Linked DNA regions of Caenorhabditis elegans. The protein of the gene in region 1 interacts with the protein of each later gene in a pairwise test. Each region holds a gene or a part of one and is shown on either strand. Other genes may lie near its edges.

Region 1 (7,885 bases):
GAGCCAAATTACCCAAATTTTGAGGTAGTGGATCAATTTTTCAGGTTCTGGAGCACACATCGGGCTTTGCAGGTATAGAAGTTCCGTTCTGAGCTGAAAATCGAGATTTGGAGCCAAATGACCTGAAATCTGGTATTCTGAGTCAAATTTTCAGGTTCTGAACGGAGTTTTAACATTTTCAGCTAGCATTTGAGCTGCAGAGCAAAAATTTGGCGGTGTTTGGGCTTCTGACTGAAAATCATCGGTTCCAAGCCAAAATTCAAGGCTTTGAGCCAAAAACTGCAGAAAAATATGAAAATTTCGGAATTCAACGCGCCAGGGGTCTTAAAATCACAAAATTTTGAGAATTTTTGAATTACAGCTCAATAAATTTATATTCTAAAACTCGGAAAAAAACATTATGCAATAAGAACGTAACAACATGTGAAAAATAAGGAAAAATCATAAATAAATGCATAAAACTGGTCAAAAAACATGCAAAAGCGAGAGAAAACGGGTACCCGATATGTAAATGAAGAAAAGTATGCGGAGAGATGAGAGAAATTGCTGAAGAAAATGCATAAACTGGGAGATATAGATCTAGGAAAATGAAAATTTAGGCAGAGGTTCCCCGGGAAAGTGGTCAAGCCGGCTCGGTGAGCAATTAAAAGTCGAAAATTCCAAATTTTCACAATTTTTCATACGAAAATTTGAGATTTTCGACCCAAAATCGCCGATAGAGCACACTTGCCACCACGGGGAGCAATAAATTAATGATGTTTCGGCACGACACGTGGATTATTGATCAGAAAATGGAGCAGCTGATGGTTCGGCATGGCGGGTATGGAGCCCGAGCAGAAGAGTGTCGGCGAGAAAATTGTCGCCAGATTTTCGACGGTCATCTTGTTTTTTGCACTGTGATCTGCCACCTGGAATTGGGGAAATTTTTTGAAAAATTCCAGAAAATTTGTTTGAAAATTCGAATTTTTTAACTTAAGAACTAATTTTTTAGGGGAAAACTAAATTTCAAGCCAAATAAAAAATATTGGCCACAGCGGGGGTCAAACCTCGGTCTTGTGCTTGGCAGCCATCCGTGTTACCCACTGCGCCATCGGTGCAAGTTTTAAATTTCGCAAAAACTGGGTTTCGGGGTATTTCTAGGGGGTTTGCACTAATTTTTACACCTAAAAGCTATGAAAAATTACTAGAGTTGAGTTTTTAGAATATTTCCTTGTTCTTACGAAAAAAAATTAAGCGAATTTTGCAAAAGTTTGAGCCATAAAACTTTAAAACGCTATGAGAACCAATTCCAAGCAAAATAAAAGAAATTCGCCCCGGCGGGGGTCGAACCCCGGTCGTGTGCTTGGTAGCCATCTGTGTTACCCTCTGAGCCACAGGTGCATTTTTGAAAATTTGCGGAAAATGGGTTTCCGGGAATTCTTAGGGGGTTTAAACTGATTTTTACACCTAAAAGCGATGAAAAATTGACTAGAATTAAGTTATTTGGGGCTTTATTCATTTTTATAAGAAAAATTCGAAATTTGGACAGAAAATAATTCTAAAACTGGTTTTCGACACTTTTAAATGCTTTGAGAACCAATATCAATCAAAACAAAAAATTCGCCGCAGTGGGGGTCGAACCCCGGTCGTGTGCTTGGCAGCCATCCGTGTTACCTACTGAGCCACCGATGCATTTTCGAAATTTCGCGAAAATGGGTTCTAGGGTATTTTCAGGGGGTTTGGAGTGAATTTTTAGGTCAAAAACCTTCGAAAATCCACTTAAATAGTGAAATTTTGAATTTTTACCTTTTTCAAATGCGCCAACACTGCTCCAAGTGTGATTATGTTCGCATCGGACAGCTCCATCATCACTTTTCTGAAATTTTCCAGTAATTTCAGAATGTTTTCCAGTTTTCGAGAGAAAAAATGAAAATTTGGGCAGAGGTTCCCCGGGAAAGTGGTCAAATGGGCTCGGTGAGCAATTTTGGGTGGAAAAATTCAAATTTTCACAGTTTTTTACGCGAAAGTTTGAGATTTCCAAGTCAAAATCGCCGATAGAGCACATTTGCCACGGAATTTCCAAAAAAATTTTTTAAAGCTATTTTTTGGCTCATTTTCACCGGGATTTCTACAATTTTGGGAAAATTTTGGACCCAAAATCCCCAAATTTCCAGCACCTTATCTGCCGCTCCCTCTCATGTGTAGATCGTTGATTCGTCTCCTGGTAGGCGACGAGAAGCTGCTTATGGACGCTGAACGGGATCAGTTGCTGTGGTAGTAGGCGGAAGTAGAGCTTCAAGAGCCCGCAAACTGTGTGAATATCGCAAACCTGAAAAAATTGGTGAAATTTTGAGAAAAATTGAAAGTTTTTTGGGGTAAAAATGAAAATTTGGGCAGAGGTTCCCCGGGAAAGTGGCCAAATGTGCTCGGTGAGCAATAGAGGTCTGAAAATTCCAAATTTTCGTAGTTTTTTATGCGAAAATTTGAAATTTTCAGCCCAAAATCACCGATAGAGCACATTTGCCACGGAAAAGCATACAAAGACAATTTTAAAGAAGAATTCAAAAATTTAGTGAAATTTTTGTGAATTTTCTAGAAAACAATAGACAGTTTTTGAATTTTCGAATTTTTTAGTGTGAGAAAACTAATTTTTTTTCGATATTTTCCAGTAAATTTCAGATTTTTACACAAAAATTGAGTTTCAAGAAAAAATTTGAGTCATAAAACTTTAAATCGTTCTGAGAATCAATTTCAAGCAAAATAAAAGAAATTCGCCGCGGCGAGGGTCGAACCCCGGTCTTGTGCTTGGCAGCCATCTGTGTTACCTACTGAGCCATAGGTGCATATTTGAAATTTCACAAAAAACGGGTTCTAGGATATTGTTAGGGTTTTCAAAGTGAATTTTGCAGTAGAAAACTTGAAAAATTGAGCTGAATATGTGAAATTTCGAGTTTTTCGAGTAAAAATGAAAATTTGGGCAGAGCTTCCCCGGGAAAGTGGTCAAATGTGCTCGGTGAGCAATTCCGGGTGGAAAATTCCAAATTTTAGCAGTTTTTTTATGCGAAAATTTAAAATTTTCAAGCCAAAATCGCCGATAGAGCACATTTGCCACGGAAATCTTATTTTAGGTCAATTTTCTTCAATTTTTACGATTTTTGGCTCATTTTCTTTGGATTTTTGCAATTTTTTAGGCAAAAACTCCGGGAAAACGCTGAAAATCCCGCGCAAATTACCGTAGCCAAGTCCACATATTGATTAGAATCAAACTGTTGCTTGAGCTTTTCCATATGATCATAGGATCCCGAAACCCGATAAATCCCCTCCACATCAAGACCCCTCGATTCGACTTCTCCAATGCAAAGTGGCACGATTGGCGGCAAATCTGCTCCGTGAGCCATGCACAGGGTGGTAATGTCGACGCCGAACATGCGTTTCACGTATTTCGAGTCGGGCACACAGTCGTGAAGCGTTTTTTCCGAGCATTTTTTGTGAGCCGCGAAGCCACAGTCCTCGCATCGCATTCCCTGGAAAATTTGATTTTTTTGAAATTGTTTCTCGAAAAAATATTAATTGCGCTAATCCTTCATAAAATTCGAAATCAGCGCAAAATTTAGCCTTAAATAGCTTTAACTCAGACTTTCTAGCTCAATTTTGAAATTTCGCGGGGTACTGTAGCTCCAAAAGTACGCAAACACCGACTACAGTAACCCGAAACACCGGATCTTACGTAATTGCGAGATTTTTGCCTGAAAAACGAGTTCCGGGGGTAAAATAGTGCGGGGAATTCGAAAAAGGCATTAAAAATCCGAAGAAATTGCCAGTTTTTGCGAAAATTGTGTTTTTTTCATGAATTTTTTTCAAAAAATTCCAGAATTTCGCCCTAAAATTTCACAATTTCCAGTTTTTTCTTAATTTTCGCGTATATTTTATAATATTTTACCTGATGCACCAATCCCCACAGGAAATTTCGGCAATAATCACAGTAGTGCGGAGCTTTGAAGGTGTACGACGTGAAGTTGTGTGCTCGAGTGACGGGACGGCGTACAATGTCTGAAGTGGTGGCGGCGGCGTTCGTATACCGAGAATATGGGCTGAAAAATCGATATTTCTATGGGGAAAACTGGAAAAACCGCAAAAATCTAAACTGTTTAAGGTAAAAATGAAAATTTGGGCAGAGGTTCCCCGGGAAAGTGGTCAAATGGGCTCGGTGAGCAATGTCGGGTGGAAAATTTCAAAATTTTTCAGTTTTTAATGCAAAAATTTGAAATTTTCAGCCCGTAATCGCCGATAGAGCACATTTGCCACGGAAAAGCGTACAAAGACAATTTCTAGGGAGAATTCAAAAATTCAGAGAAAGTTTTCGAATTTTCTAGAAAAAAATTGGAATTTTTGACGCGTTTCGTAGCTTTTTAGCACTGAAAAATCTAAATTAGGGCAAAAAGACTAGTTTTTGGATATTTTTCAGTTTTTACCGTAAACTTGTCATATTTTTTCACTATTTTCCGATTTTTACATCAAAATTTGACCAAAATCAGGGAAAACTCAATTTTTCGGCAATTTTACGGTAATTTTGAGCTCTCGAAGCTTAAAATTAGCAATATTTTAATTTTTTCAAGTTTTTAAGGTAAAAATCGAAATTTGGGCAGAGGTTCCCCGGGAAAGTGGTCAAATGGGCTCGGTGAGCAATTAAAAGCTTAAAAATCCAAATTTTTGCAGTATTTAATGCGAAAATTTGAAATTTCTAAGCCAAAATCGCCGATAGAGCACATTTGCCACGGAGAAAACAGAAAGTAGGTTTGAATTATTTAAGTGAGCTTTTTATTGAAATTTTTAGAATTTTCTAAGAAAAAATTGGCAGTTTTTGAATTTTCGACGCGTTTTGTAGTTTTTAGCATTTAAAAATTAACGTTAGGGCAAGAAATCTAGTTTTTACCATATTTTTCAGTAAATTTCAGATTTTTCCCACTATTTTCCGATTTTTGGAGCAAAATTCAACCAAAAACCCGAAAATTTTGCATTTTTGAGCTATTTTACGCTTTAAAAGCAGAAAATTAGCGAAAATGTCATGTTTCCAAAGTTTTTGAGGTAAAAATGAAAATTCGGGCAGAGGTTCCCCGGGAAAATGGTCAAATGTGCTCGGTGAGCAATTAAAAGCTTAAAAATCCAAATTTTTGCAGTATTTAATGCGAAAATTTGAAATTTCCCGCCTAAAATCGCCGATAGAGCACATTTGCCACGGAATTTATATTCTAAGTCAATTTTCTTCAATTTTTATAATTTTTGGCTCATTTTCTTGTGATTTTTGCCATTTTTCATGATTTTCGGCCTATTTTTCGCTAATGTTCCGCCAATTCCCATACCTATCCTCATAAATCGCCTCATCCGCCATTCTTTTTATATAATCCGCCGCGTGAAGGTCCACAAACATTGAAATGAGCCCATCAGCCACCAAAAGGTCCATAGTGTCGAAACGCTTCTCCCCAACGTAGAATTGACCGTCGTAGTAGAGCTGGAAATTTAAAAATTTGGCTAAAAATTGAAAAAATCCCAAGTTTTTGAATTAAAAATGAAAATTTGGGCAGCGGTTCCCAGGGAAAGTGGTCAAATGTGCTCGCGGAGCAATTTTAGGTGAAAAATTCCGAATTCTCGCAGTTTTTTATGCAAAAATTCGAGATTTCCAGCCTAAAATTGCCGATAGAGCGCATTTGCCACGGCGAGTTAACAAAAATTGGGAATTTTTCACTAAATTCGAAAATTTAGCGGAAAATTTGATATTTTTCGGGTATTTTCTTGATGTTTATCGATTTTTTCTGCTTTTTAAACTCTAAAAATGCTTACTTTATAATTCATAACCTTTGCATCAAAAATCATACACAAAGTGCACGCGTCTCTGCTCCGATTCGACTCCCGCACCAAATACGAGCCTTCTCCGGCCTCCAGCAGCATTTTTTCGGCCTGAAAATCGAATTTTCGAGCTTAAAACACCCAAAAATCACTAAAAACCTCATTTCTATCGATTAATCCGTGAAATTCGGCTCCAAAATGTCGAGGTCTCTGCTGAAGAGGTTTTCGGCACAAAACTGCGTTGGGTTTCGGCGCTTTTTCTTGTAAAAGGTACAAATTTTGCTTCCAGTATCCTTTTGATGCTCCTGGAAATTGGAAAATTTGAGATTTTAGCTTTTCGGATATTTTTAAAGCTTCCAAAACTTGTTGAGCTTGAAAAAAATGACTTACCCGAGCTCCCAGGAGGCCCGTCGTCTTCCATACCTGCAAAAATTCGATTTTTATTGATTTTTTAACTGAAAATGCAAAAAAATCGAAGAAATTTGGAGAAAAATGAGCAAAGTTGAGCTAATTTCTTAGAAAATAAATAAAATTCTGAAGAAAATCGCGAAAAGTGCCAGCGATCGAGACACGCGCCAGCAAAATTTCCTTGGCGCATTTCTCGACCAAATTATTTTTTTAATTCAAAACTTGAAAATATTGAATTTTCACTCATTTTCGCTGTTTTTTTCTCAATTTTTCGATAAAAATTGAATAAAAATTAGTTTTTTAGATTAAAAATGAAACTTTCCCGGTTGCCAATCCACATTTCCAAGAGATTTCACACGTAAGTCAGAAAATTATTCAAAAAAATAAAAATCTGGCGAGTTTTCCAGGAAAGAATATCGATTAGCGGGTCGAGAACAATCAGTAGCAGTGGATTTTGATGGAAAAAGTGGAATCGAGCTGAAAGCTGGTGGGAATTTGAAAAAAAACTAGAAAAAAAACGGGAAAAATTGCTAAAAATCTTAAAAATAAAGATTTCGAGCCGATTTTTGCCGCAAAAGATGCGCGAAAAAATTCTCCACTGTCTAGAAAAGGAATTTTCATGAAAATTTTGATTTTTCAGGCCACCTCGCCCGTTTTGCGTCATCCACCGTAGTTGCTTCATTCGGAGACAACGCCGTGATGGCTACAGTAGTACAACGGAAATCCAAGCAAGGAGATGGTAGTGGAGTACCGCTACAAGTTGAATATCGGTGAGAAATTCGGAAAAAAAATTGCGAAAAAACCGCTAAAAACCGATAAAAATGGCCTAAAAACTGAAAATTCCAGACCGTCAGCGTCAGCAATTGGCCGAATTCCAACAAATTTCCTGCGTCGTGAGCTCAGTCAATCTGACAATGAAATCCTCATCTCCAGAGCCATTGACAGGTCGATTAGACCACTTTTACCCGGAAATTCCTATGAAACTCAGGTAAAACTGGGATTTTCAGCGAAATTCAGAGGTTTTTGTTGGAAAAATCGAATTCTACGCGAAATTCTGCCTTAAGACCTTTAAAATTGGGTTTTCTATCGCAATTTTTGGAGTTTTGGGGTACGGTAGCCCCAAAAGTACGCAAACACCGACTACCGTAGCCCAAAACACCGGATCTTACGACATTTTAAGATTTTGCCCTGAAAAATGGGCTGAGGGGCTAAAAAATCACGAGGAACCCGAAAAACACATTGAAAACGTCTGAAAAATTCTGAAAATTCTGAGAAAATCGAATTTTTCAAAAATTTTAGTGCAAAAAATTGAAAAACCAACGGGAAAAGTTAAAAATTCGAAATCAGCGCAAAGTTTAGCTTTGAACAGCTTTTAGTATGACTTTTTAGCTCAATTTGGAATTTCGCGGGGTACTGTAGCCCCAAAAGTACGCAAACACCGACTACCGTAACCCAAAACACCAAATCTTACGACATTGGTGGAAAAAAAGGGGTTTAGGCTTAAAAAATTACAAAAAACTCCAATTTTCTAGTTCGAAATTACTAAAATTGAGGGAATTATGTTTTTTTTTCCAAAAAAAAAAAGTTTTTAAACATAAAAATTTAAAATTGGTTAAAAAGCCGTAAAAAAGTTCCGGAAATTCCTAAAATTATC
Region 2 (4,439 bases), on another chromosome or scaffold:
GGCTAATAACCCGCACGGAGTAATGGCAAAGAATTTTAAAGCAGAATATACGTATTGAATAAAGATTTTTCACAAATCAAATAATTTTCTCTCACCTAATCTATATCATATAAACTTGCGAAGGAATGCGTTTGAAACCTCCTCCTTCTGTTGCGTGCAGGCGCACGAGCGACAAAACAAACAGTGTTTGGGAGTGAGAGAAGCGGGATGAACAGGTGTGCGGTGGCGGTAAATTCGAGTGAAGGCGGGAATGTGTTCAGAATGAATACAGAAAAAGAGCTGATGACGTTGTAAACGAAATTCATGAACGAAAAGCAGGCACATCTCGCGCGGAAAAGGGAGGAGACGCGGCAGGGAACCGGATTGGGGGACTATTGATCGAACAATAAGGAAGAAGAGAAGTACGCGCCGTCGGTTATCGAAACTCCAAATTTTTCTTCTTTTAATTGGGAAAAGTATTACGAACATGTAATTTCATGGAATTCACACGGTTTACAATGAAGTTATCAAGAGAAAATATGCAATTCTAAAAATTTAGGGCAGATTGAATCGTCGATTGGATTGAAGTGAAAGAAGAGAAATAGAAATTTCGCGAGTGAGATTCAATCGGAGCATTGTTAGAATTCTATCTAGAAATGTAAGACAAAAAATACGAAATAGCATATTGAAATATAAAACCTTAAAATTAAAAAGAAGGCAATTTTAAAATTAATTTTACGAAATACAATTGAGAAAAAATGGAAAACACAACGGATTCAATCGAAGTTAATATTCTAGAGATGGTATTTATAAATTGAGGACAAATATTCTGCACTAGGAGAAACAAGAAAAAAGAAAGAAGTTTCTGGCTGGCAATCGTTCGCACAGGAAAAATAAAAAACTAAAATGGCCGCCCGTCTGTTAGCATGGAACGGGTTACGCTAGTTATAGACTAAGCTTACATACAAAATATGTATGTATAATATCCTCACAGCGTAACAAAGTGAGATATAGTTTAAATTCTAGATGATGACTTTAGAAATCCTATTTGGTGGTTTTACGAAGTTTACAGCGTCATTTCTAGACTGAAACTGACCAGTCTGGGATATCATTTGTCTAATCAAGTACTCTATCTAGATAACTGACCGATCTAATAAGTTTTCACGAGTTACGGGACCTAAATTTGAATCCAATAATTCGGTGACGACTGGCGACCCTATGTTAGATGTAGTGATGTCTCCATTCTCTCAATACTCTCTCGTCTTTTTCTCTGCGTATCTCACCACTAGCGTAGTCTATGAGTGCGAGCGGCCGCGTCGCGGTCGTCTTTAGGCTCGCCGACAAACTGTCCACCATCTTCTTTTTTTCCTTTTTTCGCCGTGTTCAACAAAGCTCATTCACGCTTTTCGTTGTTTTACAGGCTTTTATTGTTTTTTCTAATTATTGATTATTCATTTATAAGAGCAGAATTAATCAATAAACGTAGGTAGACGATCGAAGTATCCTATCAGTTTTTAATTTGATAAATTTTCTCGAAAGGAGCAATCATGTTTTAAATTATTTAAAAAATGGTCCGCTTAAGTTTGTCTGACTGTTTAACAATTATTGAAATCATTTTCGTGACATTTTATTGAACATTGCTTCCAAATTCCCCTAACATAATCCTGACTGAGATGTTCCAGTGTTTCATGTCGAATTATTCCTATTTTTGTACCTTTTCTTAAATATAACTAGTTTCAAATATATGCAAGTTGTTTGGTACGGAAAACCGATTCAAACTTCCGACCAGTTACCGATGAATCATTGCCAAAATTCCTCATCTAAAGAATTATACGCACAAGTTGTTTTGGCCATTTTGCCTTATTTCTTCATCGTTTATTAAGGCGTTTACCGTTTTTTTTTCTTGCTCTTTCTTCGATAATTATTGCTCCCAATGGTAAAGAAACGCTCGTGGCATTTCGAAAGAGACTATTGATTTTCTGCCTGATGTTTCGCAATTCGTTTTCATTCTCTAGTTATCTCTCCTTTTAAAACGTGTGCGTGCACATTTATGTGACTCATCCGTATTTTTCACTATAAAGACGTAATTTTAATACTTTTATTCATTTTTTTTTTCAGGCGAAATGCAGACGATCAAGTGCGTCGTCGTTGGAGATGGAGCTGTCGGTAAAACTTGTCTCCTGATCAGCTATACCACAAACAAGTTTCCTTCTGAGTATGTGCCGACAGTCTTCGACAATTACGCCGTAAGTTTAAGAAAAAAAAATTATTTTATATAAAAATAATTTCCGAATTTCAGGTCACAGTAATGATCGGTGGCGAGCCATACACATTAGGATTGTTTGATACTGCTGGACAGGAAGATTACGATCGATTAAGGCCTCTATCGTATCCACAGACCGACGTGTTTCTTGTTTGCTTCTCCGTGGTTGCTCCAGCTTCATTCGAGAATGTCCGAGAAAAAGTAAGAAATATTGTTCTCGAATTTATTCTATATATCTGAAATTGTTTTAGTGGGTGCCTGAAATTTCGCATCATTGCTCAAAGACCCCATTCTTGTTAGTTGGTACTCAAGTCGATCTCAGGGATGATCCAGGAATGCTCGAGAAACTGGCAAAAAACAAGCAGAAACCAGTGTCAACGGATGTTGGAGAGAAGTTGGCAAAGGAATTGAAAGCAGTGAAATACGTTGAATGCTCAGCGTTGACGCAGGTGAGTCATTCTTTCCAAAATAGTCATTGATAATATTGAAACATTAAAATAAAATATCATCCAATCCACGAAACCTAATCAAATAATAAATTTTTAAATATTAAAACGAGGCTCTTGTGGAAATACGTGACACTTTAAAATATAAATATCACTTTTCAGTTAAATTGTTGCTTTATATTTAGCAACGGTCATGTTTTCGGGAAAAACGAACAACCAGAATTCTGTTTTTATTGTGCAAAAAATTATCTCCTGAAATGCTCTATATTCCGGCTGAAAATACCATAGTTTTCATATTATGTTGATTAAAAACGCTTGTATATTGAAGTTTAAATAGTTTATTTTCAGAAGGGACTGAAAAATGTATTCGACGAAGCCATTCTGGCCGCTCTCGACCCACCACAACAGGAGAAGAAGAAGAAGTGCAATATTCTCTAGGAACGTCTTCCTTGTCTCCATGTTTTCCTCTGTTTTGTGACTGTGTTTTTCTTTCTATGTCCAAATTTTCTTAGCCCCCGACTTCCACTCTTCTCATACTTCTAAATTTCCCTGAAAAATGCCAAACGAGAAGCGGTTGCTGTTATTTTTGACAGCATCATAGAAGATGATTTTCTTCAATTCGTCTCCTGTAACTTATCCAGTAGAATCTCGATGAGCATGATTCCAGAATTTTTTAATTGTTTCGTATAGAATTTCGATAAGCAGGGCAGTTTATAGTTTCTCATCTGTTTTCGAATTTTTATCGAATAATCCCCTCGAAAATTTTTAAAAGTTCATCCAAATTAACTATCATTCTTTTCAATGACACCTCCTCTTTAACATTTTCGTCGTCGTTTTTATTTTCTTTTTTATCCCAAAACGTGTTTATAGTCCGGATACACCGTTACGTAATGCGCCTTCTCCTTTCCCATGGTTCTTTTTATAATTATATAATAGGTGTTGTATAGCACAACCAACTACATCCCGAGTCGCTTGTTTCTTCATTTGCTGCTCAAAAATACCGACCAGTTTGTTTTTCTTCTTTCCTTTTTTTTGTGCTTTTCTGCCTTCACACATCCATTTCCCATTTTAAACTGTTTTCTCATCCACTACGTTTTGTGTCTCCCTCCTCCTTTCTCCAGAACAACTCTGTATTTTAATTTTTCTACATATTGTTGTTATATATTTGCGATCCAAAACAATAAAGGTGTGATATAAAAAATTAAGATGTTTATAAAAGATCTTGAAAAGTATACAAGTGGGTGTTGTAGAAAAAGAAGAACCGGAACCATAAGGCATTGAGAAAAATAATTAATGAGTGGGTGAATTGGAACGAAAAATAATTATTATCACTGACAAAAAGTACTGTTTGACGAGGAGAGGAACATAATCACCGTGTATGAGGAAATGGGCTTCAACTAGAAACGATAAGAGAACATAAAATAGAGGCAAGGATGACTAGAATTAATGAACAAATTGACAAAAAATGAAATTATTTCACTTCAATCAAATGACGAAGAGATTTTGGAGTACTTGAATCATTATAATGTTTTGTTGTGAAACGAAGACCAGCAAGTAGACAATCAGACTGAAAATAAAACAATTAATATGGGTTGCTCAATTTTATTCTAATTTTTATTATGGAAGCGCAGAAAAATGCTCATTTTGAAAGCGCGTTTGCAATCGCGCTTTACGGACAAACTGTTGGGTCTCGTTAGGTATTCGCAGAAAACTAGAAATTCGAACATGTTCAAACATTTTTCGTCTGCTTT

The links.
Region 2: the proteins of chin-1 (region 1) and cdc-42 interact in a two-hybrid assay, tested with the Caenorhabditis elegans proteins (one study listed by BioGRID).

What each region holds. Positions count from the first base shown.
Region 1 is NC_003281.10:1,030,967-1,038,851, forward strand, and holds chin-1 (Chimerin 2), read right to left. Parts: upstream 6,247-7,885; 5' UTR 6,245-6,246; coding exon 6,214-6,244; intron 6,129-6,213; coding exon 5,983-6,128; intron 5,935-5,982; coding exon 5,818-5,934; intron 5,489-5,817; coding exon 5,340-5,488; intron 4,071-5,339; coding exon 3,920-4,070; intron 3,504-3,919; coding exon 3,213-3,503; intron 2,309-3,212; coding exon 2,157-2,308; intron 1,856-2,156; coding exon 1,786-1,855; intron 909-1,785; coding exon 750-908; 3' UTR 356-749; downstream 1-355. Other genes in the region: pnpt-1 (polyribonucleotide nucleotidyltransferase), read left to right, coding at 6,543-6,589, 6,639-6,718, 6,872-7,001, 7,078-7,219.
Region 2 is NC_003280.10:7,614,355-7,618,793, forward strand, and holds cdc-42 (Cell division control protein 42 homolog), read left to right. Parts: upstream 1-2,097; 5' UTR 2,098-2,102; coding exon 2,103-2,225; intron 2,226-2,278; coding exon 2,279-2,443; intron 2,444-2,493; coding exon 2,494-2,691; intron 2,692-3,036; coding exon 3,037-3,126; 3' UTR 3,127-3,891; downstream 3,892-4,439. Other genes in the region: Immunoglobulin domain-containing protein oig-4, read left to right, coding at 1-58; R07G3.8 (CYRIA/CYRIB Rac1 binding domain-containing protein), read right to left, coding at 4,160-4,255.